2 linked regions of the Styela clava genome follow. The protein of the gene in region 1 interacts with the protein of each later gene in a pairwise test. Links are inferred from orthologs where the notes say so. Each region holds a gene or a part of one and is shown in the gene's direction. Other genes may lie near its edges. The genes, in order: max-like protein X and max dimerization protein 1-like.

The links.
Region 2: the proteins of max-like protein X (region 1) and max dimerization protein 1-like interact in a two-hybrid assay, tested with the Homo sapiens proteins (2 studies listed by BioGRID and IntAct). The link is inferred for Styela clava from reciprocal best matches to the Homo sapiens genes MLX and MXD1.

The regions. Positions count from the first base shown.
Region 1 is NC_135253.1:16,284,395-16,300,383, reverse strand, and holds max-like protein X, read left to right. Parts: upstream 1-7,985; 5' UTR 7,986-8,330; coding exon 8,331-8,545; intron 8,546-9,139; coding exon 9,140-9,650; 3' UTR 9,651-9,986; downstream 9,987-15,989. Other genes in the region: uncharacterized protein LOC120325823, read right to left, coding at 235-415, 1,182-1,856, 2,532-2,755, 3,535-3,752, 4,353-4,476, 4,834-4,926, 5,349-5,465, 5,988-6,116 and 1 more; uncharacterized protein LOC120326434, read left to right, coding at 10,565-10,768, 11,571-11,685, 11,964-12,136, 15,093-15,270. UniProt on the Homo sapiens protein: Transcription regulator. Forms a sequence-specific DNA-binding protein complex with MAD1, MAD4, MNT, WBSCR14 and MLXIP which recognizes the core sequence 5'-CACGTG-3'. The TCFL4-MAD1, TCFL4-MAD4, TCFL4-WBSCR14 complexes are transcriptional repressors.
Region 2 is NC_135257.1:12,292,505-12,309,545, forward strand, and holds the start of max dimerization protein 1-like, read left to right. Parts: upstream 1-9,951; 5' UTR 9,952-10,482; coding exon 10,483-10,606; intron 10,607-12,042; coding exon 12,043-12,133; intron 12,134-12,285; coding exon 12,286-12,315; intron 12,316-12,562; coding exon 12,563-12,677; intron 12,678-12,948; coding exon 12,949-13,117; intron 13,118-14,893; coding exon 14,894-15,024; 3' UTR 15,025-17,041. Other genes in the region: neuroligin-4, Y-linked-like, read left to right, coding at 229-341, 783-957, 1,505-2,557; tubulin alpha chain, testis-specific-like, read left to right, coding at 6,618-6,620, 6,906-7,137, 7,211-7,315, 7,379-7,575, 7,703-8,200, 8,260-8,453, 8,627-8,759. UniProt on the Homo sapiens protein: Component of a transcriptional repressor complex together with MAX. In complex with MAX binds to the core DNA sequence 5'-CAC[GA]TG-3'. Antagonizes MYC transcriptional activity by competing with MYC for MAX binding.

The DNA.
Region 1 (15,989 bases):
CAAGTCATGAGTGTACTGAGCCTTGAGTCTCACTGCTGGTTATTAGATGACGAGTCCGAATGACTTGAGTCTTTGATAAATTGATACTAAAGTCCAGCTCGAGTTGATTCAACTAGTCTAGCCTCCTCAACATTGTTACTCAAACACTTCCATTTGAGTCGACTAGCATTTGAGTGACATTTTTTAAGATAGGATATAAAAAGTAAAAAAAAAATCAATTATTTCATTCCTTACTTGCTTCAGAGTCTTAACATGTGAAAGAACTCCATTTCTGTATAAAGGTTCGGTGCTACAAGATACCACTGCATTTGCGACTCTCACTAAAAACCGTGATTTTCCCATCCATCTCTGAAGACTTGTTGCAACCTGTGCTTCATTCATATTCACTATTCCTTCTGTGCATTTTTCAAGTGAGCTAAAAATTGATTTTATGAAGTTAGTTTTGTGTTAAAATCTATTTTCTACGAAAACATATTAATGATATTATCTTAAATTTGTCAATTTGCATTTTACAAAAATTCAACTTTTGATTATGCGGTATGGATACAAATGTCTTAATTAGTCAGAGGTTTGACGTTGCAGACGTTTGAGGTTGCTATTGCAGAGTAGTTTATTTAACGAACACCCCCACCATCGAAGTCAATTGATATTGTTAGCCAGACCAACACCTGACTGGTAACTAGATGAGAGAATGTTATTTAACATATATATATATATGGCCCGGCAGTTGGTGCACCATACTAAGCGTTATTAACTAGCATGCTATCGCACCTCTGATTACCCAGCGCATGTTTGCAGGTTTGAATCCCTTGTGGAAAAATTATGTGTGAGGGGATTACCGAACACCTCGACGTTGTTGTGTGGTTCACATAACTGCTGGCCCGTTATGGCTTCTATTTAGTCCATGCGTCTGAAACAAAGAAATGATTACCTATTCAAATACCCGACATGGACTGGTAACCATGGTAACAAGAAGCCATGGTTTCTCATATTATTAAGCCATCTTGGCTTTTCTCTCCCTGGGACAAATATGGATATTCCATTATATGGATAACCCAATTATTGACTTTTCTCAACTGTGAAAAACATGATTTATTTTGATGTACCATACTCGATCGAAAATGGTTCAATTTAATTTTGCAAAATTTTCATTGTGTAACAAATAAATTGAAACCGCCTACCTCACAACATCATCCACTATTACATCCAGCAATCCTTTCAAATCCAAAGATGCAACAATAAGATGAATAAGATCTCCGAGTACAATAATCCATTTGTCTTGAAGATCTAAAATTTTATCATTTTGAGTCAAAGCCTCGCTTGGTTCGTCTTTCTTGTCTTTGGTATACTGAGAAGTGGCTGTAATGATTGCCCTTGAAGTTTGATCAAAATTGAACAAAACTTTTGAATATTTATGATAAACTGCTGCATGTTGACTGCACGATGCAGCAAACCTTGCGGCTGTTGTTATATCGTTAGTATGCTTTGAAAATACTTTTGTCAACTCTTTTATTTTTTCAATTTCTGATTCTTTATGTTGTTGCATTTTGTCCATGCTATCTTGTGTGATCGTTTTAGGAGATATGCAACTATCGATAAGTTCTACCAGTGGTTCATCCATACTTCTAAATATATGCGTTACCAAAACCGTAACAGCATGAAGTATCGCTGCCACTGTGCCCTGTGAGATGGCACTCAATGACATGCACTTTTCATCATGAACTTGTCGCAAATTTTTTTCTATTGAAGTTTGAGTGTGTAATGCCTCATCTGCTTTCTCCAAGTCACGCATTGATCGCATCATTTTTCTGCAGGAGGTCACGATGGCATTGGATTTCAATTCAAGTGGAGATGAACTGTAAATAAATCTTTGGTCAAAAATAGTTTGTATAGTCAGGCTCGGCAGTTGGCGCATCATGCGAAACGTTAGAAATACACATCTGATTGACTTGTGTGATTTTGCAGGTTTGAACCCCATGAGGAATAAATATGTGTGAAAGAATGGATGGACTCCCTGACGACGTAGGGTGGTTCACATAACCACCAGATATTTGCGACTTTCCCGACCATCAAGTCCATGCATCCAAGACAAATAACAGGGCAACTATTCCGATATCCAACATGGACCGAACAAGCTGAGGTTTCCCATATGAATAAGGCTTCTTATCATCTCTCTCTCTCGGAATAAATATGAAAATAATATTCTATAAAATATGCTGTCACAGTTTTTTCTATTGATTCCCCTATTTTTTCAACGGAGTGTTCTACAAAACTAAATGTTGGCTTGTTCATAAGTTTTGGTAAAAAAAATAAAATATAAAATGAGTGATGAAATCAAATACAAGATTACAGATTGTACATTATTATTTGAAAATATTAAGGCTGATATCTAATCATAGCGTAAAGCAATAAATCAAAAAAACATGTTTGTTTTTTTATTTTCTAAAACCAGATTTTTCAAGTTTTGCCCTTCTGGATTACGACCTTGAACTAAAAAATCAATTTCAACTGTATTGAACAAAATACTTCACCTTTTCACTAAAGTCAAAGAAAGATCCATGGCATATTGAACAAAACCTTCAACACTGGTATGCAGGTTCATCAAATTCATTTTCTTCCTGTTTTCTGCTGACAACATTTTTTTGATTTCATTCAACTTTTCATAAAATAAACCAATTTTCGTACCAGGTAAAAATGATTTCCGAATATTTTTAGTTGTGATAACTTTAACAATGTCTGCGATTGCTTTCCGGACCTGAAAATAAATTACCCAAATTGGGTTGCTGGGTAATATATTACAAGATACGTTATTCGCTTAGGTTTCAGGTATTAATTTTCACATTCAATTTTAATGTAATCTAGATGAATAACTTTCAGTCAAAAATTTAAGGCTTTGATAAAATTGAATATTTCTTTTATGAAAACAGAGCAAAAAAATTCTACTAAAATAATCCTCATCTACATATTACAAAGATTTTGGCATATCCGCAAAATTTATATAACAAACTAATGTTTCAAAGAACTCTCACTGTGTGCAATTCCCACACACCCAGCTGTTCCTGTTGCTTTTTATAGTATCATGGAAAATAATATCCTTCTTGTGAGTTTAGTCAAAGCAAGATATTTAGCCCTATCTAACCCAATATATTACCGATGGAAGACTTACAAGCCGACACTGAAACATCACTAGCATCGTACCATAATCGAAGATTCGTAGGTTCAAATATTGTGAGGAATAATTATGAGAATCGGGATTGCTGGATTACTCGTCATTGAGGAGGGGGGGATGTTTCATGTTTCAACTGATGTTTCATTATGACTTTCTTCACTATCAAGTCCATGTATCTGAAAAGAGTATACATACGACATGGACTTTGCTTCGCTCTATGACGGCGAAATCCTGTCGACTCTCTTCTACCCCGGGATAAATATGAATTGACTTGTGCCACATATAAAACAGCAGGTATAATTAGGTACAGAAGTTAAACCCTAGAAGTCAATTAGTCAACACATAAAATTTTTATATCTATTCACCTGTTCTACACAGAAATCTCTGCCTTTTAATACTTCATCATTGTCGGGATATCTAATTGCCATTTGCAACGCTGCTGTTAGCATGGGAAGAGATTGTCTTAAAGTTGACAAAGAACATTTCAATTTGTATTGTAATTTATCATCCAATAAGTCGTTGCATCTTGCACTTGCAGCTCTGTGGAGATCAGCTGCAGGAATAGCAAAGCTTCGGAACTTATCTGAAATATGAATAAACATATTTGATGTGATTATTCTACTTTTACCGTAAGTATTAGAATTTTTCGATATCTCAAAATTAACATAATCTTTTATTTGTAATATCAAAAATCTTGTATGCACCATGAACTGAAAAAAGCAATAAAACGAGCATACTAAAGAAGCGACACCAATTTTGAACTACACATCGTAAAACTTTGTCTTAGTTCAGCAATGTCGTGTATTGTAGAATTTTCACATTTATCCTACATTTTATTTATATGACGACTTAATCATATGGCAAACCACGGACTCCCGTCCGGTTACTAGTAGTAGTGTCATTTAGGAGAATATTAACTAGGTATTTGTTTGGCAAATGGTTATGTGAACCACCCCACAACAGCGAGGAGTCCAACAATCTTCTCGCATATGATTATCTCTTACAAGATTTGAACCTACGATCCCACACAGGGTAATCACATGTGTAATAGTAAATGTATTCCCAATACTTGGATCAATCATGTGCTTGTCGAGTCATATACGCCGAGTTGAGTATTTGTATCATATTTCTGTGTTTCCTCTCTATATTATATATGTGAATACAAATAACCATACATACATACCATTCAAATTTTGCAATGTGTCAGCAGTAGCAAGAGTTGCAAGACATTCAGAAGTGGACCAACCATAACTTGCAATTTTTCGAACTTCAGCATCATCAATAGAAAGAAGTAAATGCATCATACACTGTGACAAAATGAGATTCCATTAAAAAAGTGATGCCAGTCTATGTATCAGTCAGTAGTATGTTGTATAATATATTGGCTATTGAACACAGCAACAAAGAAGGGATAATATGTTACGAAAGCTTTTCAATATCAATTGTATACAAGCATAAAATTTAGGTTATGTAATCACTCGTAATTTTGCTTGGATATCAGTCTCGTTTTTCTTCTGCGAGTGCACACAAACTCGCTTTGCGCGAATATCCACAAAAAAATAAAAACTTCATCCTGAGTGCATTAATATAATACCAGAAGTTTTAATTTTCACTTTCTCAGACAACCATTACGGTAGATAGAGCAAAATTAGCCAAAAACTTACTTGATTCAACTCAGAAAGACATCCAGGAACATCATTCTGATAAGGAACTGGTGTTTTTAGCTGGTAATCAGGTTTTGTAGCCGAACACAATATCTGTAGAAATAATATCAATCAGATTTCAGTATTATGACTTCTACACTTCTATGGAAAATCATTCAATACTGCAAAAAATCTTACATTATTTAAAAATACATCCTAATTTATAGTTCGTAAAATTTGACATAAATTGTATCTATTAATAACATCCACAACAAAAATATTCAGTTTGATTATCTGATTTTTTTGAAAATTATGTTCCATTCTCAAACTATATTTCCAATTTTTTGCAGATGCAATTTTTGGACATTACTAATACTAATCGCAGTTACATTCTCAATATGTTGAAGACGACGATTCAGAATCAGATGATCTTTTTTTTAAAAACTATTCCTTTTAAGCGGATTCTTCTTGACATATTTAAGTGTGGCAATGAAATATAATCGATAGAGTTCCTATACAATAATAAAACAACATACATGACAACACAGAACTAAACTTTCTCCGGCAACAAGTAGATTCTGAGACCCACAATCTATTTCTTTCTTTACAACATTATCCTTCGCATATTCCAGTGTCACAGTTTGTTGGCAAACCTACAGGAAATTATTAAAAAATTTTTAATTAATATAAAAAATACAAATATACAAACCATTACCAATGATTATTATCCAGTATTAGGTACCTATTAAGTCAAAAAAACCTGGTGCCTTACAATACTTTTAGGCACAGGTCTTATATAGTTGGTCTTATAAAGTTGAACTGCTTTGCGACGTTCCTCTACACATGACTATTGAAACACCCACCCTATCTCTAATAAATGACAACTCAAAGATTTCATAATTGATTTAATAAAACCTTTCGAGGAATGCCTTGTTCATGACTCTTGTCAAACTTCGAAATGCTTTAACTACGTTAATATTTAACAGAATAAATTTATTTTATTTCACGAATAGGAAAGAAGTTTATCTGACGATAGACAAAGGATAAATCAAATCTGTGATAGTCGCGAGAATGGCTTGGAGATCTGACATGAAATTTGCCACATTGGGCGCTGACATATAGCAGTCGTTGCAATCACAATGCAAATCAATGACACTAAATACAAAACTGAATACCGTTGTCAAGTCTTTTAAACTCTCAACAATGTCTTCTGACATAGAAACCAATGGTCGTAAAATATTTATCGACCCTCCTGATGTCTCTGACTCATATTTTTCAGATGTCACAATCAACAATTCAGTGATCTGAAAAGTATTAATGTCTATGTTAACCGAAAATCAGTAACAACAGGACTAAATCAGTACTTTTTCAAACCATTTTTCCCATTGGTGATGAAGTGAGGTAAAAGTCCATAAACCCCAAGTTGCTAATCATGGGTCGGAATCTTGATTCGAGTCAATACTGAGTCTTACTGATGGTTAGCTGATGACGAGTCCGAGTCATTATATTTAGAGGACCTGAGTCACTTAAAATCTTTTAAAAAAGGTCACTTGAGTGCAACTCGAGTCAATGACTCAAGCCTCGCAAACACTGCTCATCACTGATACTTTAAAATTCTGGGTTTTTGGATTTATACAGGATCCTAAAAAACAGAAAATTCACACTGCACCTGTGATAGTATTGGAGTAAATATAGCTTGCAACGACTGAGTAGGAACAATGGAATCCATATTGTTTATTTTTATTCCTACATAAAAGACTTGATTATTTTCAGTATTTCACTACTTCTCCAGAACCACGATCACTAAACTTCCAACTGTTCGTTGCTTGATTGCTGAATCATTCGTAATTTCGAATATCACGGCCATTTTTTGTCAGAAAATACTGTTAAAATACAGTATTGGTGATAGTTTACTTCAAACAGCGTCCGTAACAACTGTATGACTCGATGCGTAGCATTCATCATATGACGTCATCGATTCATTCATAAAAATCGACAAAAAGGGAGCTGTGTTCCCGTTTGTGATGTCATAATTTTTTTTTTTTTTGATAAATCATGAATAGTATGTGGCTGTAATATAGGATAAAATTCAGTAAAATGATTGAAATCGCCTTGAATGAAAGTAGTCTATAACTTCATCGCTTAGGAAATTCAGAAGTGGTGAACATAGATAGCGCCTATGCTTGACTTCTCGGTTACTTTATTATGTTTTAGTTGCATCATTTACTGCGATGAAATATCCAATGTCAAAAGTTGGAGTAGTCTATTTGATAAAAAGGGTAACTTAAGTTTTTGCTTGTATTCCATATATTTATGTATGTTTCATATTTTCATTTTTGAAACACTGAAAACGAATATCGCTCAATAAATATCCCGTATTTTTTCACATTGATTGATAAACTGAATAATGATTGATTTTTGTGTGAAATTCCAGGAAGATGGTTGTTGTTTGACATTTACGGTTTGACTAAAATCAATCGGTTTATCACCGGCGCTAAGGCAGCCGCCTGTGGCGCAACGATAAGATACGATGCTGCCCTTTCTCCTTAGCCAGCAAATAGTTGCTCTGCAGCCTGGAATGGCGGTCGAGAGTGCTTAACCTGTTTCCAATTATGTAATCGTACTAGCCAAGTTGAATTGGGTTGCGTTTCCCAACAGGCATACCGGGAGGAATTCCTCGTTAGGTAGGAAAGAGTAAACAGTGAATGAGTGAGGGAAGAATAAACAATTCCAAAAAAGGCGAAGCTGCGAAAGGAGAAATTTAACAAAACAAGTTGGGTAGGCTAGAAATACCTGAATACTGTAATATGCGTAATTAACACTCACACTTTTTATAACTGTACCGTACTGCCGTAAGGTTTGAATTGCTCATAATACAGTAATAGTTATAATGTGTGAATAAATATGTAATGTAATATTTCCTCTTCCAGTCTTCCAAAACAGTGAATTTCTTTTCTTACTGCAACATACTGCTGTATTGGGGAATTTTCCCGTTGTTAGTAGAAACCTTGATCTAAATTTAGTGCTTCTTGGTACCATACTCATCAACTAAGTCTGTAAGTGTGCCATATTGTAAGGCGGTTTGCTACCATGTCTTATTTCAATTTTCTTACGAAACATAACGGCTTATTTTGGGGGATGGTTTTTTATTTTTATTCCTCGAAAACAAAATTACAAAGTAGAGAATTACGAGATTTTCAAATATGAAAAATATGAAAATGATATTCATTTTCTTATAACTAACACATTTTTATTTAAGAAAAAATTCGCGCTATCGACTTGGTCTTATTTTAGGTTTTTATATTAAAATTATTTTTAAAATTTAGCCTAGATCCTATTTTCAGGCTAGGTCTTATTTATGTATTTTCGGGGAAACACGGTATTATGCAAAATATGTTGGTCGGCAACCTTTTTTATTATTCTATTATCAGATTATTGTGTTACGTTTCCAATACCTGAATACAGCAACAGACTACAGACAATTTTTATACTGTAGTGATAGATATTTTAAATGAGTCATGAATTCTTCTGGATTTTCGTCTGCTTCATCAAGTTTCATGGATTCAAGCTATGATCAGATTAGCGATTCTGATGGTGCCAAGTTGGAAATAGATTTGGCATCTCCGAACCATAGTTCAAGTCTGCATTTTTCTAATCCATCAAGTGCTGCTTCGTCAGTTCATAACACAGATGATGAAGATGATGACAGCTCTGAACGCCCGCTCAAGTTCAGGTAAATTGCTATGTTACTTATAGTTACATCTTCGAATAGTAAACTTTTGTATTTATATTTATAATTTAGTTTGTTTATAATGTAACATTACACGGTAATGAACATTTTATAGTTTGTTTATACATGATCATACTGCCACAAATGTGGTGATACAATAGCTTATGATAACTATATACATGTAACCAGGGCAGCGGAGTCGAGAGCTCCCCATATTTTCTCTAGAGCAGGTGTCAAAATTCTGAATTCCCCAGATTCAGAGTCGGAATTGCAAAATTTCAATGGTGATAAAATAAGTCTAAATTTCTTCATTTTATTTTACTGACAGTCTATTAATAAAAGATGCTGGTTTACACCAAAAATTTATTTCTGGGATCGGAATGGGAATTTTTTGCAAACCAGAATCAGAGTTGAATTATTGTCAGAGTCAATTTTCCATATACTCACTCCATTTACTCAACAATGCATGTAACGTAGCAGAAAAAGTTTTTGTACTTTATGTAAACTTCATCGATTTGGGAAAGAAAAATATGACTATTCGACTATTTATTGCAAAGCGGAACTTCCTCGATCATGTAGTTATTTTTTCGCATACAGGCAAAAAAGAAGAGAAGCTCACACACTCGCTGAGAAACGTAGGAGAGACAACATAAAGAAAGGATATGACGAGCTTCAAACGCTCGTCCCCAAACTTCACTCAGAAACCGTAGGATCACAAAAAGTCAGCAAGGCTGTTATGCTTCAAAGATCAATTGATTACATAGAATATCTGGAAAAAGAGAGAAAGAAACAGACAGAAGATTTGGAAAAACTTCGTAAAAAAGAACAATCTTTATCGATTATGAAATCAAATTATGAGCAAATAGTCAAAGCTCATCAATCAAACCCAGCAAACTCCAATCACCAATTGTCAGATCAAGTAAAATTTGAAGTATTTCAAAGAATCATGGATACTCTTTTTGTTTCATTTAATTCATCAATATCCGTGGCTAGTTTTCAAGAACTGTCCCATTGTGTATTTAGTTGGATTGAAGAACAATGTACTCCACAATCATTACGAGATATTGTAATCGATACTTTAAAGCAGTTGAATCCACAATTGCGATGATCTTTCCTTTTCATTTTCTTACAGGAAAAGCATATAATATGTAATCTTGTTGCATCTTATTGACTTTGTTATACTGATACCGAGCAAACGTTTTCACCAGTTTCACTTAAAAATAATTATATTTACTGAAAAAAAATGAAGATCCTGGTTACCAGTTTGTGTAGAAGTCTGTGAATCCCCCGAGTCATATTTCCTTAATTTTCGAGTTGATCCAATTTAAAAAGTTGACTTGTCAGAAATAATGATTTTCATGCTATTTTTTGTCATATCGAGTCCCTTTCTTCAAGATATGATTTACAATAGATAATTTCTTGTTGATGAAAATGTTCTTAAATGTAGTGTGCCTAAATACCTATTTAATAATGATTTAATTTTTTGTATTAATTATCACAAATATAATCTTGCGTTTAAGTAATATATCATTCTGCTTGAATTTTACGACTTATAAATTGCAAGTTGTTTTCTTATAATGAGATAAGGTACAGTTCCATCATTGTGACGTGGTTTTCTGGAAAATCACTTAAGGAGAAAGTACAGTACTTTATTGGACAATTATTATGATTGTGATCATTTTGTAGTGATGTGCATTTAATTAAAGGATAAGTGGAAATGGAGGAAAGAAAAATGTAGTTGGCTTATCAATTCATATTATGCATTATACTAATTCATAAAACCACTGTAAAAGTTGGAATGTTGCGCAATGCACAAAAATTCTTACGTCACTGACAATAGCATTTCTAGACAAATTAATTATGTACCAGAAGCGGAGCTTCCTATCATTGTGTTATCGAAACAATTAGTCAGTGCAGCATATGGAAGTATAGACAATATGCATGGGCAGTTGCGATCGGGAAATGTAGTGTACTTACGGAGTTAATTTTCATGTCAAATGTGGTAGGATAACCCAATTCAGAATGTTGATGAGAATACGCGTTTTGATTTTATTAATTGTATTCTATTTTGTGTATATGATTATTGGTGCTGCGGTATTCATGGCTATGGAAAGACCAGTGGAAAAACAACGATGCAAGGATGCAAAACAATTTAAAGAAAAATGGTTGAATCAAACACGTAATAATGAAGGTTTTACAGAAGAAACTTTAAACAAGTTTATTAAGGTTAGATGTTAATTTGACTCTAAAACTACAAAATTCATTCTTAATATCAGCTCTTTTATAGAGAGTATATCTTTATTGTTGTTATCGGTATGAATGTTCATAGTAGTGCTTTTCAGAGAAGAATTTTGCTTTACCTGATATGTTGCGATTATTATTATTGGTGAGCATACTGCCTTTCAAAATTTTTCAATTCATATATGGTTTATGTTTGGGCTAAATATACATGACAAAAAAAGTTTTTGGGTAATATTGCCATAATCGTCAACTCAGGAATAATAGTGTTTTTGTGCTTTTAGAGGCTTTTGATTAAGTAATGCCTGATTCTAAATTCCTGCCATCGGGAAGGATATTTTTTTGAAAACTCAGATATTTCGACCGTAAAATATGCAAATTCAGGGTAATATTACATAGTATGCAGGCTTTTTAGGTGTGAACCTCCAGAGGGCTCTCAAGTAATAAATAATTGGTACTTAGTCCACCGATTATAATTCATTTGTTTTGTTCAGCTTGTTTATACATAAGTGATAAGCTTTGCTGGTAGGTAATTCGAAATATTTCAAAGAAAATCCTGTTTTATTTATATATTTTGTAATTAAAAAAAAAAATCAGATAATAAAATACCAGGCTGGTCTTCAACTATGTCCTTCAACCCTGCCACTGGGCCAGTTCTGTTATTGGTAACGCTACATCTGTAGCTGCCCTGATGAAAGAGCTGGGAACATTCCGTGCAACTCTTTGTGGCTGTGCCACCTATCAAATAAAAAAATTTCATTCTCACGTTTATTATTATTGTATTTCCTAGAATGTCACCATATTTTCTGGTCATGGTATTAGTCTGCAGGGTAATGTCAAATGTCCAGCAAATTGGGATTTTCAAAGTTCATTGTTCTTCACAGGAACCATCATCACAACCATTGGTATGATTTGCTAATTTATACTATTTTTCTCAAAAATATCTGAACTCTGCTCTCACAACCTATGAATTATAAATCTTGAAAATGTCGATATTATTTTATTCTGTTATACCAACATTGTCAGATTCTCAAACACTTTGTTAAACATTTTTTAAACCAGCATTTCCCAACCAGGAAGGTAATTTTGATTTGTGCTTAAAATATTTAACTTTTAATGCAAATCTACAAATCTCATACGGACAATGAAAGTTTTAATCATTACGGTAATTCTATATTTTCAGGTTATGGAAACCTTGCCCCAACACAATGGTACAGTCAGATATTTTGCATATTTTATGCTTTAATTGGAATTCCTTTGTTTGCAATCATGTTTACTGGAATAGGAGAATACATGTCTGTTCTGGCTGAGGAAGTTCTGAAAAAGTTTCAACCACCACAAAATGCTCCAGAAGAGGTAGACACATAGATTTTTTTACAAGTCATTTAAAAAGTTCTTTTTGGACACGAAGTGGACATAACGATCGTTTCAAAATTTTGTTGTTATTGTTATTTGTCTCCGTCTCCATTTTTAAAAAATCGCTTTTCTCTTCGAATACTGGACCAATTGCTTTGAAATTTCCAGTGGTTAAAGATAAAATTTTTCTCCAGAAGGCTGTTACTTTTTTTTTCGCTATGACGTCATCAAAATTATTGCCATTGGGTGGCGCTACGTGTCCATATATTTGAGCATAGCTCTCTTGTTAGATTAAATGATTGCAAAGTTAGTTGATCTGATATCTGTCCACTCCTTTATGATAAATATTGAAATCTCATCCTGATATAAACCGGTTTCCCAAACTAGCGTCCCAAACTGATGACTGCACAGGGGGTCCGCAACGATATGAAAAGAGTCTGATTGAACTTTAATGATTGATTTCAATCAAAAAGCCATCTCAATATTTTGTTGAGAGTTGCGGAAGAATATCCATTGCTGTCAGAAAAGGCAATTGAAATTTTATTGGCTCTTGCAACGACTCTACATGATAGAGTCAGACCTATTAGTTTGCTTGTCACAACACAATTGATAAATTGTGCAGTGAAAAGCAACCTCATCCATCACATTAATGTCAATTGTATTGTAAGGATGGGGGTCCGTAAGATTCATAAACAGGGGTCCGTGAGACCGTGACTAGGGGTGGGCAAAATCGAATATTTTTTTCGAATCGAATAGTTCGAATATTTTTCACGAATACCGAATAGTCGAATAACGAAATTTTTTTTTAAATACAATGGGGGTCCGTCGGAGGTCGATACTCCCTTCGAAAATTAGAAGAAACTTTGAAAAATCCACAACAAAGCGTTTTTTATTTACTGGTTAAATTCATCAAAATCGCTAATTGTTTTTGTCGCCGCGATCCTAAAGTTCGTAATCTGTATTCCCGCCCGATTCATTTTTTTGAAAGTATTAATTCTTGCGGGTCGGTGGACATCGAAGTTTTATATATTAGGTATACCCGTGCGTTGCCGTTGAAATTTTTTTAAAACTAAAAGTCGCCAATAACGCGTGCAATAGCATTTTGCTATAATCGCCGATTGTTATTATCAGCGTGACGTGGTATTTAGGCCGTAAACAACTTTATGTTGGTTTTATATTCTCTAAATTAAAAATTTTCCACAATGTTGTGCGACGTTAACGATGATAATTATTTTATTTATGTACACACACGGAATTGCGATAGTTTAATTAATATACGTTCATCGGCGGCGAGTTTCTGAGGACAACGCAAATTTTTTGATTGAAAAGCGGCAATATAAAATACTGAAAATAAAACTTTAAATATGGGTTTTATTGAGGCCTGCGACAGTTTAAAACCCCCTTTTTGACATTGAAAATCGCAAAATTTCGTGTGCCTCTCGCACACATTATGTTTGGCCGGCGTTTAGGAAACATATCATCACTAAAATCGAAGCACTGTTAAATGTGGGTGGGATTGGCCATATTATCCATTACTTTAAATTGCCGTCGAAAATTTTCTTTTCAACATTATACAAGGTTTGAAACGGACAACTTTCCCCGGGTTGTGATGATATATATAAGATAATCAATCTAATGTATATTCAATCAATTTTTATTGTGCTAAAATAAATTTTAACCTGAGATATTACAGCAAATTTATGGAATTTTTGATGTTAGAAGTCCTGAAAATAAGGAAATCAAAGCTTTATATATTCGAGCACTTTACCACACTTTATGTCCGCAGATTGCCGTCGTATTTTAAAATTGTGAAGATTTTATTTTGTCGACTCAACCGCTGGTTAAATTGAAGACAATAATAAAGCAAGACATTTTAAATATGCCCTTATCGGTCACAAATTGATTACTTTGCACAACAGAAAACTCAATATTCATTGCAAAAGTCGGCTCTTTTATCAAGTGGCCTAATCGCGGCGATGAATATGTATTATTGATTAAACGATATACTTTATATGTATTTTCATTGTACGAATTGAAATTGTACTCTACGGGATTTTATTTCAGTTATTGAGATTTTTCTAACGGCGATAACGAGTTCGCAAGATTCCAAAAATACGTATTAAAATTAAATACACCCGGCAGTTTATCTCATACTTTTATGTCCACAGATCGCCGTGGCATTTCAGAGAAGTGGTGTTTTAATTTTGACTTAAGAAGAAGCAACCGCGAGTTACGTTTGACATAATTAAATTAATATATGAAGACATTTTGGAATCCCGTAGTTGTCATGGATTGATCATTTTACGCAACAGAAAAATCATTATACGCTGAAAAAACGTCTCTTTAACGAGCGCGTAATCGCGGTGACTGTTACAGACGGCAATGAGAATTTCCGATTTTTTAAATACATCGTCATACGTTTATAGTTTACAGAACGTTCATAAATTAAAGCAACGGTGAGGACCTATTTTGCAAAATAAGGAAATGAAACGATACGTTAGGCGTGAAAAGAAAACAAATAACATCATAACGCAAAGAAAATTTGTCGCTTTTGTATGTTAGCGAGCGCCGTTTGTGATTTCTCGCGCAATTCACGATTCCGAATTCCGTGTTGAAGCAAAGCGGCGCAGGTCACGTGGTACCGGGTATTCGAATAGTAAAATGCCATTCGAATATTTTGATATTCGATTCGATATTCGTTATTCGAATATTTTGCCCAGCCCTAACCGTGACCCAAAAAGTATGGGAAACCCAAACCCCATTTTTTTATATATTGTTTAAAATTGTTCCACTTGATACAATATACTGAAACTGCATATGATATGTCAATTCAAAGTCATTAATAGGTAGCGTAAGCCATAAACATAACAGTTATATCTATTAATAATCATAATGATATTTATTAATATTCATATTTATTAATCATATTTCTTAATATATATTTATCACCATCTAGGAAGTACAAATTGTAAATGCATTTTTTGTATTTGTTCTCATCGTTGGAGGAAGTTTTATATTTTTCCAACTCATTCCTGCAGCAATTTTTACATTTGTTGAGGGATGGAGTTACAGAGAAAGTGTTTATTATTGTTTCATTACTCTGACCACTGTTGGATTCGGAGATTTTGTTGCAGGTATATATAAAATAGAAATGGTGACCGTACATTTGAACCCATGTACATTTGAACCCATGCGTATATCCACGGATTCAATCTATATGCGGGTGCTAAAACCCATGGGTTAGGGTTAGTATGGGTTTAACTATCCGTGAAACAAAAAAAATTCCATAGGTGCAATGGCATACAGGTGCAATTGTCATGGGTTCAATTGTACGTGGGTTCAAATGTAATGGAATCAATAGAAATAGATACTTTGATTTCCAGGACTGAATCTGGATCAGTATTAGAAATTTTAAAATGTTTCATCGCAGCACTCTTGGTATAGAAAGTTGTATGCAGTATTATCCAAAACTAATAATTTCATTGCAAGCAGCGTTTTTACCATGAATTTAATACCCTCCCAAATAGCAAATTATTGTTATTCATTTTTATAGTCAACTGATGGACAGCTGATAAAGTTTGTTTACTGGGGCTTGGTCCTTCTTTCGCAAGCACCTGCATACTTTTTATATGCCCAAATCATAAAATTGGGTTATTTCTGTGCTCTTCAATAGACCTGAGCTCTCGAATAGTCTGAAATGTCACTATTCAGCTTGGTTCAAATCTTTGTCTTTCACAAACATGGCGAATCAGCAAAAAAAGGGGTTCTCAAAAAGCTTTCCAATATATCAGTAATTTTGAGTTTCGTTAGCCTTGACCATCTCTATCTAGCAAGATGAGTAAGCATAGACATT
Region 2 (17,041 bases), on another chromosome or scaffold:
GTTTTGTGGTTCAACCAACGTGAATTAAAAAACTATTAACTTACAAAGCGTCGCAGATTATGTTTGAAAAGGGTTCACATCCATTTTATATTGCTTGTCTTTGTGCGATTATGAAAAAACTTTCAATAGAATTTAAACATACATATTCTTAAAAATGTACTTTGACACTTACGGTACATAAAAACAGATCAAATATTTATCGAATTTTATTTATTGAAATAATCACAGGAGGCTGAGAAAATATTTCCATCACAAAAGTCTACGACCTGGCGTCCTGCTATAGCCACGCCACCAACAACCAAGAAATCTACTGATAAGCCTATCATATGGAGCCCTATTCGGTAAGAATTGTGTTACTCGTTTGGTTGAAAAATGTTTTGTTTCAGAATTGCCAAAAATCTACTACTGTTAAAACAAATGTGAATCGATATTGTTCTTAAATTATACATTGTTTCTTATTTTCCCTGGCAGGGAAACTGCCCCCATTAAGTGAGGAATTAGCTAGATACATTTTTTCTATGATCCAAATGCTTACGACGTCGTGGCGCAAAATTGTTGAAATTGGTTCACGCATGAAGATTTTATTTTATATTATTATTTTTATATTATTAGTATTTGAATAGACACGTATGTTACCTAAATAGATATTGATTGTGGCTACTAGATACAAAATATTGATTCTATGTGAAATATTTGTTATATTGTGAGTATCATTTGGCTCAAAGATATATAAACTGTTGAGCATTTCTCGTGTAAAATATTGATTCTTTCTCATCTTGTAGTGACGCTCTTAGTACAATGTCACCAAATTCAAGTGATGAATCTAACAAAGCTGATGGTGGGATGTCACTTCGTTTGACCATTACGTTGGCTATAGGATTCGTTCTTCTGTTTGTGAACATTATTGCTTTCTCCGTTGTCTCATATCATAAAAAGAAAGACAAGTTCAAGATCGAGGTGCGTACAGTATAACCTAAGACATATTCGAAATGAAAAGTATTTTCTCTAATGATATTTTTATTGGATGTTTCTATCTAGCTATTTGTGCTATAGTTGCCATAGTTAACTGCCAGTCGGATCTCGGAGTCGTTTACTCCTACTAATACTGGGAATATCCGGTCTCTTAAATATATTTATATGTGGAGTTTGACTTTTTACCCTAGTATGATTCAATGTTAGATTTTTCCATATATGTGGCTGCTCGATAATCACTACTGGTGATTACTGATTCAAACCAGACCTTGCTTTCCGCTAGGAAAAAGGCAAAGATAAGCACAAACTTATGGTTCCACCCCAAAATAAATTATGCAAATTATCTCATCTTTTTCAGGTTTAGTTATTGACCGCGTCCCTTGTACTGATTAGGGCTCAAACTGGAGCAAGCCGGTATTTGAAGTCAATATAGCTATGCTTGTGTGAACCCCGTTTTAACACATTTATTTAAAAAACGTATGGTATTATTTTTATGCTCTCAACAATATTTTGATGATTATATTTTACATAGAAACTGGAAGCACAATTGGCTGAAAAGAACGATCTCTTCAAAAAAGAAATGAAGAAGGTTGATAGCAACGGTGATGATGCTCCAAGTGGGGACAATAAAATGAAGCCACGGAGTATTACAAACTGTCACACCAATCCTGAAATATCACTGGATGCAGCAGTGTTGGAAAAGTCTAACCACGCATTATGTGCGTACACTTTACCACATAGGTATTCTCACACAAAATCTCCAACACGTGCTATGTCTACGACTGCGCTACCACAATTGAAACCATGCGTTTTTCGCGACGATTCCCTCACGTCAACATCAGCAGAAGAACAGAGCAGAAATACAAAAAGAAGAAGCTTTAAAAAATATGGCAACGCATATCATTCAAGTGACGATGGATCACCCGCTAGCATGATGGTTTGCAACAGCAAGGAAGAGTTATCAACAATTCACCCACCCATACCGGAATTCAGCTTGGGAATGAAGAAAGGCGACTTTTCGACTGAAAGTGGCGGTCGGTACAGTTTACAAACTACCAATTCGGCTACTCCAGATCATCATCGGGCGTACAAAACATACAATGGAAAACAAGCCGTTCAAGGCACAGTGCGACTGAACGTTGTTGAACCACCAGGCGAAGAATCGAATCGGCCCACGTCGCTTTGGTCCGTTGTGTCATCTGTTGCCGACGGACGAAGCGCTTTTCAGCGATATGGATTAGAAACAACAACGCGGGCTGGGCATCACGGAAGCGAATCACACATGGCGTCTTCCTCCGCCATTTCCCAAGTTGGAGACAGTTACGCATATGCTATACAATCCGATTCTCAAAAAAGCGACGTTGAAATTAATGACACACTACCTGTTGAGGGAGGTTACCTTGCTAGAGATTTATCATGTGGCTCAAAGTCTGCTCTGCTTACATCTCCAATTGAAAAACCCTGCTTCCGATCGGATACATCCGGTTCAGAAACAGATCGTACCGGATCGTCTTCGAGAAGTGACGCTATCGGAAGTTACTGTGTGACAAATAATAAAACAATGAACGTTATTACAAAACTATGATAGAATTAGTTACTAAAAATATTTGATTTTTCCAACCAAAATTGACGTGATTGCTTGATTTATGAATATGGTGGCACGAAAATATGACATTGCGTGCTACTTTTTTATTTTTTGTACCGTCTGATTATGTGATGCCTTCTTTTTGTTTGTGAATTATTTTAAATACCATGTTTTTTACGGACAAACCAGTTGACAGAATATATACTGCTACTGCTCATTCATGAATGAATTGATTTTTGCACATACATCAATGATAAATCGCATACTTTTGGCCATGTATAAATAATCTTGGTTCGTATTTCTGATTACGAGTGCTTGTGACCTTGTTTTTAATAAATATTCATTATACAATTGTTTATTATCCTCTGTTTAGGTATTTTATGCAGTGGGCATTATCCAAGCCAGGCTCAACAGTTGTATCAAAATCTCTGAAACCTTTTTACAGACGGGGCGCATAATTGAGCTTTTTAGAAAAAAAGTTTTTATTTTTGCTACATTACAATTGAATTGGACCCGAATTCTGACTTGAAAATCCAGGATCCATTCAAAATCGAAATAGAATTCAATAAACTTAATACTTATTTTGAGAAAATAGTCATGATCAGTAGTTTTTAAGGTTTGTCCAATCACTTTATACAACGCAAAACATGTTCCAAAAAGTCATTCGCCTTCCTGGCATCTTACAGAACAATGTTCTTGGTATAGATCCGTTAGTCGTGGGCTATTTTTGCTTGTGTTTAAAACCAGGTTTACCATGAAGGCTTTTACCAGAAGAACCAGGAATTCCGATTGGGCATGATCTTTTTTGCAAGAAAAACATTGTGTTAAAGTACATGACTCTAACTTATGCTATCCCAACATTTTCCTTAATGCTGGAGACATTTAAAAAACGTTATGAGAACAAGTATTTACACAAAACACCACACTTGATTTGCTGTACACGTCTTAAAAACGAACACACTGTCTAAAAGGCAGCTCAATATATTTTGGGGATTGGGAATTTACATATAGGCTTCTGCAGGTATAATATGATACCGACCGTTATCTCGCAGTCTCGCGAAACTGCCCGTCTGCTGTTAGATGGCCTACTAACAAACTATTCGGATTAGTAGATTCAAAATTCCATTATGATCAAACAATTCGCATACATAAAAATTTGGATACACCTAGTGACTGAAGTAATAAAACTGAGGTGAACGGGGAATTTTCTTTTAAGTTAAAGTATGCAAATTCAATTCAATTCGTTTATTACTCCAGACCGCCGTGGTCCATATAAAAACAACACAACAAGTAAACATAAGCAAAACAAAAGTAACACAATAAATACATAAAATACCTGATATGACAATCAGATTCACAGTAAGTCTCAAAAAAGAGTTATACTATAGCAATTTAAGAGACCAAAAGTGAGGTATAGAATCTAAGATAGCCCGTAACAAACAGTATCTGGTAATCAAATAATGATAGTAATAGAATGTTATTGGAGTTCCTGCATCTCGTCATGAACAACCACAGATTTTTTCTATGGAGTGCTTCGAAAGAGGGAATGTTCCCAGATACCATTTTGTGACAGACACTATCAGATCTAGAGACACAGTGAATTACGCGATAAGCATTATTATATGAAATTTTAACTTTTTTATAACTATAATTATTGAAAAACAACCAGAGCTGGCAGTTATAAATCCTACAACAATACGTCCTAAATAAAAGATTTTTCACAGTAGTGGAACAATTGACAAATTTTTTCCAAATTGTATGGGCTATAAAATAAATTGATTTATACTGACGATTCAAGTCAAGGTCATCTCTAAGATCACTGGATAGGAAAACACCAAGATATTTAGTGGACGAAACATAAGTCAATACAGAATTACGAAGTTTGATATCAGGCAAATTATTCAGCCTAAACTTTTTATTCTGGATACACATACAAACAGATTTTTTCGAGTTGTACAAGATGTCATGTTCAATAGAGTATTTATCGCATATGTTAAGTAAACGTTGAAGACCTTTGGCTGAAGGTGAAATGCAACACATGTCATCAGCATAAAAAAATGATGGATAATATTGTTATTTGCTACACATCCAATGGTCTATTGATTCAACTTAACAGAAAGGTCATCCATGAAAACAGCATATAAATATGGACTTAATATACTACCTTGCTTGGTACCATTATGAACAGAGAAAGGATCTGACACACTGCTACCCCAACTAACAAACATGGATTGATTACGATACATGTGTACAATCAGCGATAAAAATATTTTGGGGATTCTTCTGTTGATTAATTTACGAAATAGAGTCCAGTGATTAACTTTATCAAAAGCTTTAGTGGCATCCAAAAAAGCTATGAAAACTGGTGATGATTTTTTGGAATAATAAGTAGCTAGTAGCTAGATGCTTTATTGTAAAAATGCACATGTCAGTCTCGTGACCAGGCTTGAAACCAAACTGGTTGTGAGATGTAGTTAAGTAAGACTCAGTGTTATTTGAAATGTGTTTTTCAAAAATTCTTAAATAAGACAGAGGCCACTGCAATAGGCCTGTAGTTACTTGCACTACAAATTTCACCATTTTTGTTTTTAATTACAGGCTGAATAGAACTTGAAAGGAAGGATAACTATGGTTCATACATGTGTTAAACGAAGTCGCTTTATAATGAATTATTAGCCTTGTGTCGTGCCCCCCCCCTTGAACTGCTTCGTGGCCCCCGGTTGAGAACCACTGTAATAGGGTATGAATGCCGTTTTTTTTTATGTCGGTACGTAAGCTATATTAGCATGTAAATTAGCTTTACATAAATTTAATACAAAAACTTACGAAAATACAACAAGGCTAGCTGCGATGCACGTTACCAATTCGCTGCCGTCGTCCATGGCGGGTTATAATAATTTCAACCAAGCTCTGCCATGATATATTCTTTGCTGCAAATTCTATGATGTCATGAGTTTCAGACACGCCCTTATTTCATATTCTTTCGTGTAGGCTACATCGATGAGGACATGCCTTCATTGTGTAGGCCTACATCAATTTCTGATTTTGAACTTGTCCGTGAAACTGAGCGACACTTCACTAGTAAATTATGAATAAGGCGTCGTTCACCTTGGAGGTTTTTCGTAGCAGCCTGAGATATTTCGAAGCCAATTGCAAACACAGCCTAAAACGATATCACACAGAAGTACTCCAAGTGTGCGATATCCGTGACGAAACAAGTGTACTGGGATTTAAGTAAAATCGTCCAGATAAATTTATACCTGCTGTGCATACTGAACATGGAGAGACAGCTATTTTATGAGTTGTTTAAACGGTTCCATTACATTTGAACCCACGACAATTGCACCTATGGAAACTTGCATCTACGGATATTTGAACCCATACTAACCCGAACCCACAACAATTGCACCTAGGTGCATACTATTGCACATATGGAAATTTGCATCTACGGATATTTGAACTTTTAGCACCCGCATATAGATTGCATTGAACCCGCGGATATACGGGTGCAAATTTACGTGGGTTCAAATGTGCCGTCACCGTTTAAACACGAAAGTCTGAACACATGCGATTAAATTTCACACAATTAAAATGCTGTTTCATACGAAACTCCATGATAGAAAACTGTTTCATCGGACCTTCTTCGAACATCTTCACCGCACCCCAAGGATTCGATCGAACACGTTTAAGAAATACTGGTGATACATAAACTCATTACTCAACTCAAAAGAGTATATCTATGTTAGCCTTGAAATTCTATTTCGATTGTGCCATAAATATATTGAACACCCCCATGTTACATCAGATACATCCGTATAAACATACTGTGTAGGATAAGTATGAAAGTTTGGCCACATTCGGAAGAAAGCCATCTGCTTGGCAGTAATCATTACTGATAAACAACATCACTATTTTGTCTGAGCACTAATCACTTGTTGTTCGCTGTCCGATATAAGAACAGTTTTGTCAAACGCATCTCCTCTTGCCACGTCGAGCGTCTAACCCCGTTCGCGGATCTGTTTAGTTTTATTTTCGTTCGTTGTTGAAAGGTTATCGGAAGATGGTGAGTATTATAGTTACTAATCGCTACTGATGCAAAAAGTCAGCTAGATGAGCGAAACATGTGGGATTTTTATGTGGGTTTATTTCACTAGCCAAAGCTGCTGAAAGGAATGTTTGAGGTGAAATAATGTACAACTAGTTTATTGATTTTTTAACTGTCTGGCGCGGGCGTGGAAGGCACGGTGGTTCGTAACACGTCGAAATTTAAAAATTCCCAAAGCCTCTTTACGACATACCATATAAGGCCATAGTTCCTATCATTGTCAGGAGTGAATTTGTATTACAGCGCGAGTGTATTTCAATTCACGTTGGACAAGCCGGAGTTCAAATTGGAAATGCATGCTGGGAGCTTTATTGTCTGGAACATGGTATAGAACCAGATGGTAACATACCAGCACGTTCTGATCCCACCAAAGAATGCAGGGCCGACGATTCGTTCAACACTTTTTTCAGCGAGACGGGGTCTGGAAAGTATGTCCCGAGAGCAGTGTTTGTGGACTTGGAACCAACTGTTGTAGGTAAAATGATAAAATATAAAAGATAACTTGATTTAAAACATACAATCCGTGTCTAATAACCTAACCATTACAGACGAAATCCGTTCCGGCAAGTATCGACAACTGTTCCATCCTGAACAACTGATTACTGGGAAGGAAGATGCAGCGAACAATTACGCGCGTGGACATTACACCATCGGTAGGTAGTCTCATCTAGAGAGTATTTTTTTTTGACGATTATTAACTTTTCGAGAATTTTTAGGCAAAGAACTGGTTGATTCCGTTTTGGATCGAATTCGAAAGCTCACTGATCAGTGCACCGGTTTACAAGGATTTCTCATTTTCCATTCGTTTGGCGGCGGAACTGGGTCAGGATTTGCCTCCTTATTGATGGAGAGACTCTCTGTAGACTACGGTAAAAAGTCGAAGCTAGAATTTGCTGTCTACCCCGCTCCCCAGGTAAGATCTATCAATGTGACAAAAGCGTTATCAGGTCGGCTTTTTTCCTGGCCTTTAATTAGTAGGCTTATTGGATTTGGGTGTTTCAAGGGGCAGTGCCCAATATAATTTTTTTATGTTTTCCAAGGTTTCGACCGCTGTTGTTGAACCATACAATTCTATTCTGACCACTCACACAACTCTGGAACATTCAGATTGCGCTTTCATGGTCGACAATGAAGCCATCTATGATATATGTCGACGTAATCTGGACATTGACCGCCCAAGCTACACCAATCTGAACAGACTGGTCGGCCAAATTGTGTCTTCTATCACTGCATCATTGAGATTTGATGGCGCACTCAACGTAGATCTGACAGAATTTCAGACTAACTTAGTGCCATATCCACGAATCCATTTTCCTCTAGTTACATACGCCCCTGTGATATCGGCTGAGAAGGCGTACCACGAACAGCTCTCAGTAGCAGAAATCACAAACGCTTGCTTTGACCATGCTAACCAGATGGTTAAATGTGATCCTCGCCATGGAAAATATATGGCTTGCTGCATGCTTTACCGAGGTGATGTTGTTCCGAAAGACGTGAATGCAGCAATAGCCAATATCAAGTCTAAACGCACGGTGCAGGTATGTCAAGTGTGTTGCGAATAAGTGGTAGCTAGATATTAATCTTTTTTATATTTTAGTTCGTCGACTGGTGTCCAACTGGCTTCAAGGTGGGCATAAACTACCAGCCTCCGACTGTCGTCCCGGGTGGCGACTTGGCAAAAGTACAGCGTGCAGTTTGCATGCTCAGCAATACGACTGCCATCGCTGACGCTTGGGCACGTCTGGATCACAAGTTCGACTTGATGTATGCAAAACGAGCATTTGTTCACTGGTAGGAAATTTATGCACGTTTGTAGGTAGGATGTAGATTTTTTCAAACACGAAGGCGGATATTTTCAATTTAGTATTTTTTCCCCGAATTTCATTCATGCAAACTTTGAAACGTCAATTCATAACCAGTTTTTAAGATTGAAATGCGATAATAAATGAAGTTTCGTTTCGAAGGTACGTCGGCGAGGGCATGGAGGAAGGAGAATTTTCAGAAGCTCGCGAAGACCTTGCTGCCCTGGAAAAAGACTATGAAGAGGTTGGTGTCGATTCTGCGGCTGACGGCAGCGCTGAAGAAGAAGAGTATTGAGCAGACTTTGAAAATATGCCTTCCAATTGCAATATAAATTGTTAGTGTCCCTATTTAACACGTTCCTGGCATATCTGCATCAGTTGTCGAGATTTTCACGCATTTTCCGAATTTTGTATAGTACCACTTTTCCCGAAACGCTTGTTCCCAGAGCGGACACTTTGATCAGAATACATGCATTTCAATCAATAGACTAAATCTTAAATGGCTTGTATGGTATTAGCTTATGAATGAAATAATTGAAGCAATAATTGTGCCTTTTTCACGCATATTTGCTTGGGAACTATTTTGAGGCGCACGTTGCAGGTGAAATCTTTCTGGAGTCGGGCCTTTGACAATGCGTTTTTTTTGGTGCTTCAATTACTCGAGTTTACGGCTTTCGTGAAATTACCCGTCCGTCATGTCGGTTATGCGCATGGGTTTGCTTTTGAGTGAGTGGTAAGTAGTCGGCGCCCCGAAGTGGGATACTTTCTCGTATCCATAATATTAGATTTTTAGAAAGGGTAGTGTGATATCCCTTTAGCAGTTCTTATTGCGTATGAATCTGGGAAATAAAATCTCGTTTCGGCCGGCTTCGCACGTTTGGAACTTCACTCATCGTTGTCACGATGGGGAAGATAAGCGTAAAGGCGGCTTTATAAATCGGAATTCACGGCATGATTGTCCAAATTCGGTTTATGATGGTAAATGACCTACTATTCGCCATCAGAAACTATCAAACAAGCCAACAGAACTTACAAAATGTTGCTACGTGGCTAAAATGCTGATTCTTGTCAGGTTAGAGGCATCGCTGTACAACGAATTGAACAAATGTGGGTTTCGCGTTGGCTTTGATGGAATTAATAGTAATCGAAAATCGTATTCTAATTGGATTCGGTTCCATTAAATCCTCAAATCATCCCATTGCGTGAAATTTTTTTGTAAGCAAACACTCCACTTATAGCGCGGAAAACGTATGCCATAAAACGGTGACCGTACATTTGAACCCATGTACATTTGAACCCATGCGTATATCCACGGGTTCAATCTATATGCGGGTGCTAAAACCCATGGGTTAGGGTTAGTATGGGTTTAACTATCCGTGAAACAAAAAAAATTCCATAGGTGCAATAGCATACAGGTGCAATTGTCATGGGTTCAAATGTACGTGGGTTCAAATGTAATGGAACCCCATAAAACACTCGGAGCGGACGGATGCCGTCTACAGAACAACAACACAGGCTGATTGGAGTCTTATATGACGTACAATCATCATACACCAGTCAGCTGATTTCGCAGAGAGGCGTGGGTGTCGCGTGTTTGTTTCTTCGTGTTGAGCGACGCGCTCCGCATTGCCGATTTTCTGTTGGAAATGGCGGACAGGGGTTTCAAAATTTAGCGATAGCGACCTTGTGCTCGCGTCTCTCTTATTCCACTATTGTTTAGCAGCGGTACCCCGCCTCTTCGATACGCGTTTAAAAGGAAAAGTAGGCGCAGGCGTGCGAGACATGTGGCCTCACTGGAGAAGAAATGCTTTGAATTTGATTGGTTACCGAGTTTTTACGTCACGATTTCTTTGTTTTTGTGTTTAGCCCAGAGGTAACAACCTGACACGACGAGGTTTAGCGGGCGACCTTAGAGCATTTATAGCAGATTTATTTTTAACGAAATATTTGATTACAATTAGTGGAATAACGTGAAACTATTTTATTAAGCAAGTAACTTAGAATATTGACTGTTAATCATGTTGCGATCAATGAATGCATCTCCGACCAGCGAAAGTGATGACGATACGAAGGGGCTGGGGTTGGAGTTATTGATTGAAGCTGCAAACTATTTAGAGAAATGTGACAGTAAAAGGCAAAGAGGTAATATACTGACAATCAATTTGTGCATATTTTCCTCAATACCATTCATTTTAAATATGTAAATCGAGAAATTACAGACCTTTATCAGATGATATTTTTCAGTTTTCTTTTTTTATTCTCATTGATTATTAGCACATTAAGTTGTTGTTGGTGATATATTCTAGTATTGCATTTTACACTTGTGTGATCAATATCAGTTATAACTATATTTCTGATAAAACTGGAAAATGTACCAGTTTATAAAAGTCACTCACACAGGTCATAAGTCAGTAAGTGCGGTCATTCTATTTTTCTGCACTCAATAAAATTCAGTTTTGATCAAATACATTATCAATATTTATAATAGGCTATATATTGGTGGTATTGTCAAGAAAAGTTGTAAAACTTTTATACACGCATTGATACAGTATTGCAACGTGCATTAGAGCGTTTTGACTATTGCAGTTGTTACAATAAATACTTTCATCAAGTTTTAAGTAACGTATCAAACTATTCCAGAAGTGTCAATTGATTCAGCAAATGTTGCTCAGTTGTTTATGGCATGATGTAATAATTCACATTACAGTACAGCACACTATACAAATCGCGTGACATTGTCCCGTTTCAGAGAAACCCATTTTACAGATGATCAGACACCCCTTCTTTGGGAGACGTCTGGACATTGTTGTCCCTCAATATCGGTAATAATGCAGTATAATGAAGTTGCGCAAAATACTACAAAGAAGCGCACTCTAGTAACGTCATCATTGAATTCCTTGGGAAAAAATAATCCGATTTACAGAAGGAAAAAAAATTCTACCGTAGCATTCGAGAGTTTTTAGCAAAAAACGGCAATTTTGGTCATGTGACGGCCTCGATTAATTTAGATTTTTATTGAAACAAGCATGGCACGATATGAAGCATCTGACGTGGTCCCAGACGCCCCTCGTTTGTGAGACACATAGAGTGTTTGTTTTATTGAGCCAAATGGAGGGAAATTCTTGGAATTTGGATAGTGTGCTGTACTTTAGGTGTAACTTTCAACTTTCTAGGTATTTCTCTGTATTCAGATCATCGCAAGGTTTTAAATATATTTAGCATATTGCATTTAATAAGTATTTCAGCATATTGCATGTTGACTAAAGATTTTGGTTAAAAAATATTTTTGTCTGAACATTGATAAACAATATCGTACCTTATATAGGGTGACTCAAAAAACAGAACCCATAAATTTCTTAATTACTTCTACGAAAATATTTTAAAATCTGAACACGTAACTTCAGTTTGTGTATGATTGTACCCAAAAGTTGTAGTAATCTACGAGGCTTTGCATAAGAATTATCTTCTCTCTCTCCTTCTCTGAGTTCTGTTTTTGGGGTCATACCATATAATGATTCATATTGTGATTGAAAAAGATTTTGATTTTGGTGACAAATATTTTTTTTTATTTCATACAGAATCAGATCATGGATATGCATCAACTTTTAAATACGGTGACGATGAACCGGCTAAAAAACGACTGAAAAGTTCAAAGAAAAGTCAAAGCAGGTATGAATATTGTGATCAAAAATCTGTTAGACTCTTGAATAATATTGAATACGGATATTTGTTCTAGTTATGAATTCAATTATCCTTTTATATCAATTTAACATTTTTGACATGGTATTTCTGAAGTACTATAATGCTCTTTTTGTTTTCAGGACATCCCATAATGAACTTGAAAAAAATAGGTGAGTGGAGTTACTTTAGCCCCATAGGCTGGATTATCATCCGACTATTTAATTAAACCAAGATTTTGTGTTGTGGTAACTTCATTCTCGACTATCCATGTACCGGTAATGAAAATTCATAAATACTGACCTAAACTGATGCATTCATTAAAATTGCTCTTCCCCACCCTGGCATGTTTCAAATATTGAGCAAAGGTTTTAATTGTTTCTGTGATATATGATTGTATTATTTTGATACACAATTTAGACGTGCCCACCTACGAAACTGCCTCGATAACCTCAAATCAATCGTTCCTCTTGGATCTGACTCAAACAGGCACACTACCTTAGGACTGTTGAAAAAAGCTACTTCATTGATTAAGGTTGGTGGAAGAAATATTTTCAATTTGGATTTTCAGAATTAATTCGTAATACTTTTTGATAGTACATATTATAAAAATGTAATTTCCTGTATTTATAGACTCTCTTGCTGTGAAATTATTCAAGTTAGATACAGACTAATTTATGCTGGGAAAACTTTCGCAAGGCTGAAGGTTGTTATGGCTTTTTGGTAGCAGTTTTGAATATGTATGGATGATCTTAAATAAAATAATTATGAAAAATTATCATTCTTTAAATTTGTTAATATTTTAGGACCTTGAGGGGAAGGAGGTTGGTTATGAGAAAGAAAAAGACAAACTCGGCAAATATAATGAACAATTAAAGCAAATTTTATTTCGGTTGGAAATAAAATTTGAAAGACTGCGTCGAGATTCAACCGGATCTACTTCACTGTCTGAGTGCTCAAACGATTCTGATAAAGGTAGGTGTATTTTTGTTACAACTTATTTAGGTTCATAGCAATGCATGCACAACTAGCAAGAAGCGAACAATATGGCAAGCCAACATTTTGAATGTATATACAGACAAACTTCATCAGAGCGATTAATTTGAATAAGCCTTTCAGCAACCGCCTGCTATATTTAGTTTTATATTATGCACTAGTATATACTCCCTCAAGTAGTTTGTAAGTAGACAGTTAATTTTATCAAAAGGTTCTGCTTCCACCATGTTTTTATGCACAACATTTTGTATTCTGCAGAAACATTTGAACATTTCAGTTAATAAGTTTTGAATATTTGGTTTCAGAATGAAACATTCAAATTTTGAAATACTTAACATAAACAGATAATCAATGGATATTTCTGCCAATGAAGCCATAATTTAATAATAAATCAAATAAAAATTGTCTATTATTCTGTCCTATTTTTGTTATTAAATTTTATAACTGTGTTGCTACATATTACAACATCATTCGAAACATTTCTCAGAAGCAAGGCAATCTTATACATTACTGAAATTACAATACCATCTTGCAATGCTCATTGGACAATGATAATTTTCGTGTATCATAGTATTATTTGTTATCGAATATACCTATTGAAAGGATATTTTGGACCGTGTTGGATCACAACTCGCAAGTTCCCGTTTCTTTGTAACACAATTGATGTAGGTCACATGGCACGTCAAGTAATTTTGGTGTTAGTCATCGAAGCGTACAAACGAAGCGTACAAACGTCACACACCTAAGCATATTTACTTAAAGCCACACTTGGGCAAGTCCAGACTTGAGTCAGCTGGTATTTTGTTTGTAATCTGAAGATCTTATTCTCTCTTTTTCGAGTTGTTGCGTGCGTGCGAATGCTATCAAACATTTGCATCACATTGATGATATGCAGTAGTTTAATATTTAAACAGAGTAAGGCTATTAATATTTAGTGCCTTTCATGAGGTCAATTGTCTCTTTGAGTGTGACAAATATTATATCAATGTCAAATAAAATGTTCTTCATTGTAAATTTAATTCTGCGGACTGTGGTATTGTTCAACATTGGAAAAATAAAACTTAGGTTTTTTAAATTTCCCTCTATATTTAATATGAATTGATTCAGAATACTGAATTGCGTATCCCAAATTTTTCCCTAATAATAACATTTTTTGAAGGAAAACTTATTAGACTGAGAAATTCCCAGTAGGCCTACATGTTTTTGTATTTTATCAGAATGGAATTGAATTAAAGATCATTTCTGATCTTATCAGTATTTGAAATGGTGTGGCTATTGACTTTATATGCGAATCATTTTGACTTGTATTTTAACCAAAGTTTTTCAGCGTTCTAATGTCACAAATGCGAGGTTATGAAATTCATTTTTAAGCCTGCACGTTTTCTATTCATTTAAAACATTGCTTTCTAAATGTTTATATGATGGGTCATTATTGATAAATCATGAGATTGGATACCAAATTATCATTGTAGGGAAATTTCCATTATCCTCCACATATTATCAGTAATCAAAATTAGTTTTGTCTCTATTTTAGAGGAGAGTAATATGGCTTATATTGAACTTATTCGCAATGATCTTAACTACACATTGCTTTGACTGATTAAAGTTTTAATGGGTGTAATTCCATGTTCTAATAGTATAGTTAATAAGACTTGGTGATCTAAATTGTTTCTATTTGTTTCTATAGCCTCAACCTGATTAGCGTTTTTATTATATTTTAAATTAATGTAAATTTCTGTATTTTTTAATGAACAGATGAAATTATTGATGTTTTGGACACAAGCTGTAGCAGCAGCGACGAGTTAATCCAAGTTATGACAGCGGCCAACAACGATGCCAACGGTATGCTTATCAGCATGCCTGAAATTTTGATTGTCTCTACGTAGCATGTCTCTCTGATGAACCAGGTCAACATTTTCCTTTTAATCATAAACATTTTGCTTCGTCACTTCCAGTAATGACTACATTTGCGACTCTGATTATTTCTAAAAATAAATATATATTTCTATATATTAATATTATTAAGAAAATGAATTTTATTGACCTTCAAAAATTTCCTAACAAGCGAAAGCTAATTTCCCATGCCCTAATAATATTAGGCAAATTGAATCAGGGAGTTATCCGCTTTTATTATTTCATTTATTGAAATCTGATTTAGAAATTCTTTATGGTTTTGTTGTGCTTCCTATTTACTCTCATTAGGCCAATGTACTTAAATAAAAATAAATGACTATTTGGGGCACGGAATTTATTAGTGGTATATCAACACTTTTCTATATTGCTGTGGTTTTTCTCACATCAATGTATGAATAGCATAGGAGAATAATCTATTCTTCGTTTTTATATGTTGTTGAAGTAGTTAAGATTCATATAAAAACCCTATAAGTGTAAGATTCCTAGGCCTATCATGCTTAGGATTTATTATAATTGTTTTTGAACTGCATATTATTAATTGTTTTTCTCTGGCTGAAAATACTTTCTGTAATTACAAGCTTCGCCATGGAAATGGGAGCTTGCATTTAAAAATTTCATAATATGTATCGTATACATGTCGATACATTCTCGAGTCTCGAAATTCCAAGTACTGTATTGCTTTACAATAAAAATGAATATGTATTTTCATGTCGCAAAGATTTTTTGTTATGCAAATGCTATCGTTATTGCCCTACGAGCGAGCCAACCAACCAACCAGGTAAACTCACCTATCGCCTTTCAAGACATTTTCCACACCAAATGCGGCCAAAGAATCACTGTGAAAATTTGAAAAGAATATATTCAGGCCCATTCAAATTTGTATTGTGTGTTTTGTCTCCAGTTCTAAATTTCTAAATTCAAATTCAAGGGAAAACTGTGTTGAATTTTTGGTGCCTAAATTATGCATTTGTCCAACTGACACTGGCGACACAGAATGTTATTTAATATTCAGTTCCCGAAACTAAAATATCATAAATTGTGTTTATATATGAGTGTATTATTAATATATTGAAAAAAAAAATTATATATATAATTGGTTTTAGGTAATACATATGACTGTCTTGTGACCTGTGTATATCAACCAAAACTTTATTTTTTATATGTCTATTCGGTAATTCACTTAACAATGCGCCAAATTATTTCAAACCATTGGTTCAGGGTTTAACAAACCGTCATTATGCCCAATTTTTTTTATTCTAATCCAAATTTGTGGTCGCATTACAAGTTAACAATTGAAATAATCAATTGGATTTGACTATTGGATCCTTAAAAAAATATGCAAATTAGCCGGCCCCTGTGCCAGCGTAAGGTGTAATAGGCCAAAGTAAATCTATCGCTATTTTATGTAAAGTGTTTTATGAATAGTTGAACTCTTTATTGAAACCTGTTAATGCACAAACCTGAGGATTGTGGATATTATAATTCATTACTATAGGAGTGATCTGTATGCCAGCAGTCATAATATGACCCTCGGGCCTAATTTGGCTCGATGGTAAACTTGAATTAGGGCAAGTGGTTCTGAAAAAAATTCAGTTTTGATTGTGGTTCGAAGTGTTATTTATGTATAGAGGTATGTTTGTAGACAGTTCCGTATATTTTATGTAGAATGTAATCACATGTCAATACATCAGCAACTAGCATATTCATGAAATAAGCTTAGAATGTCTAATTTTTGTTTGGAAAGGTCATATTTTTTAGCTTGTGATGCGTTATTCTTTATTGTAATTCTCTCATTGTTGGGTGTATTTTTCTTATTTTTGTCAAATTTTTTGTACCTGTGTAAAACTTTATCACTACATAATGATACTATTCTGATGTCGTTTTGTAATAATATCTATTTTTAATACCCCTAACAAATAAAAAACTATATGTGTGCGAAATGAAATGTATCTTTATTTTCTCCGTGTTTTATTGTTTTTGTTGTACTAT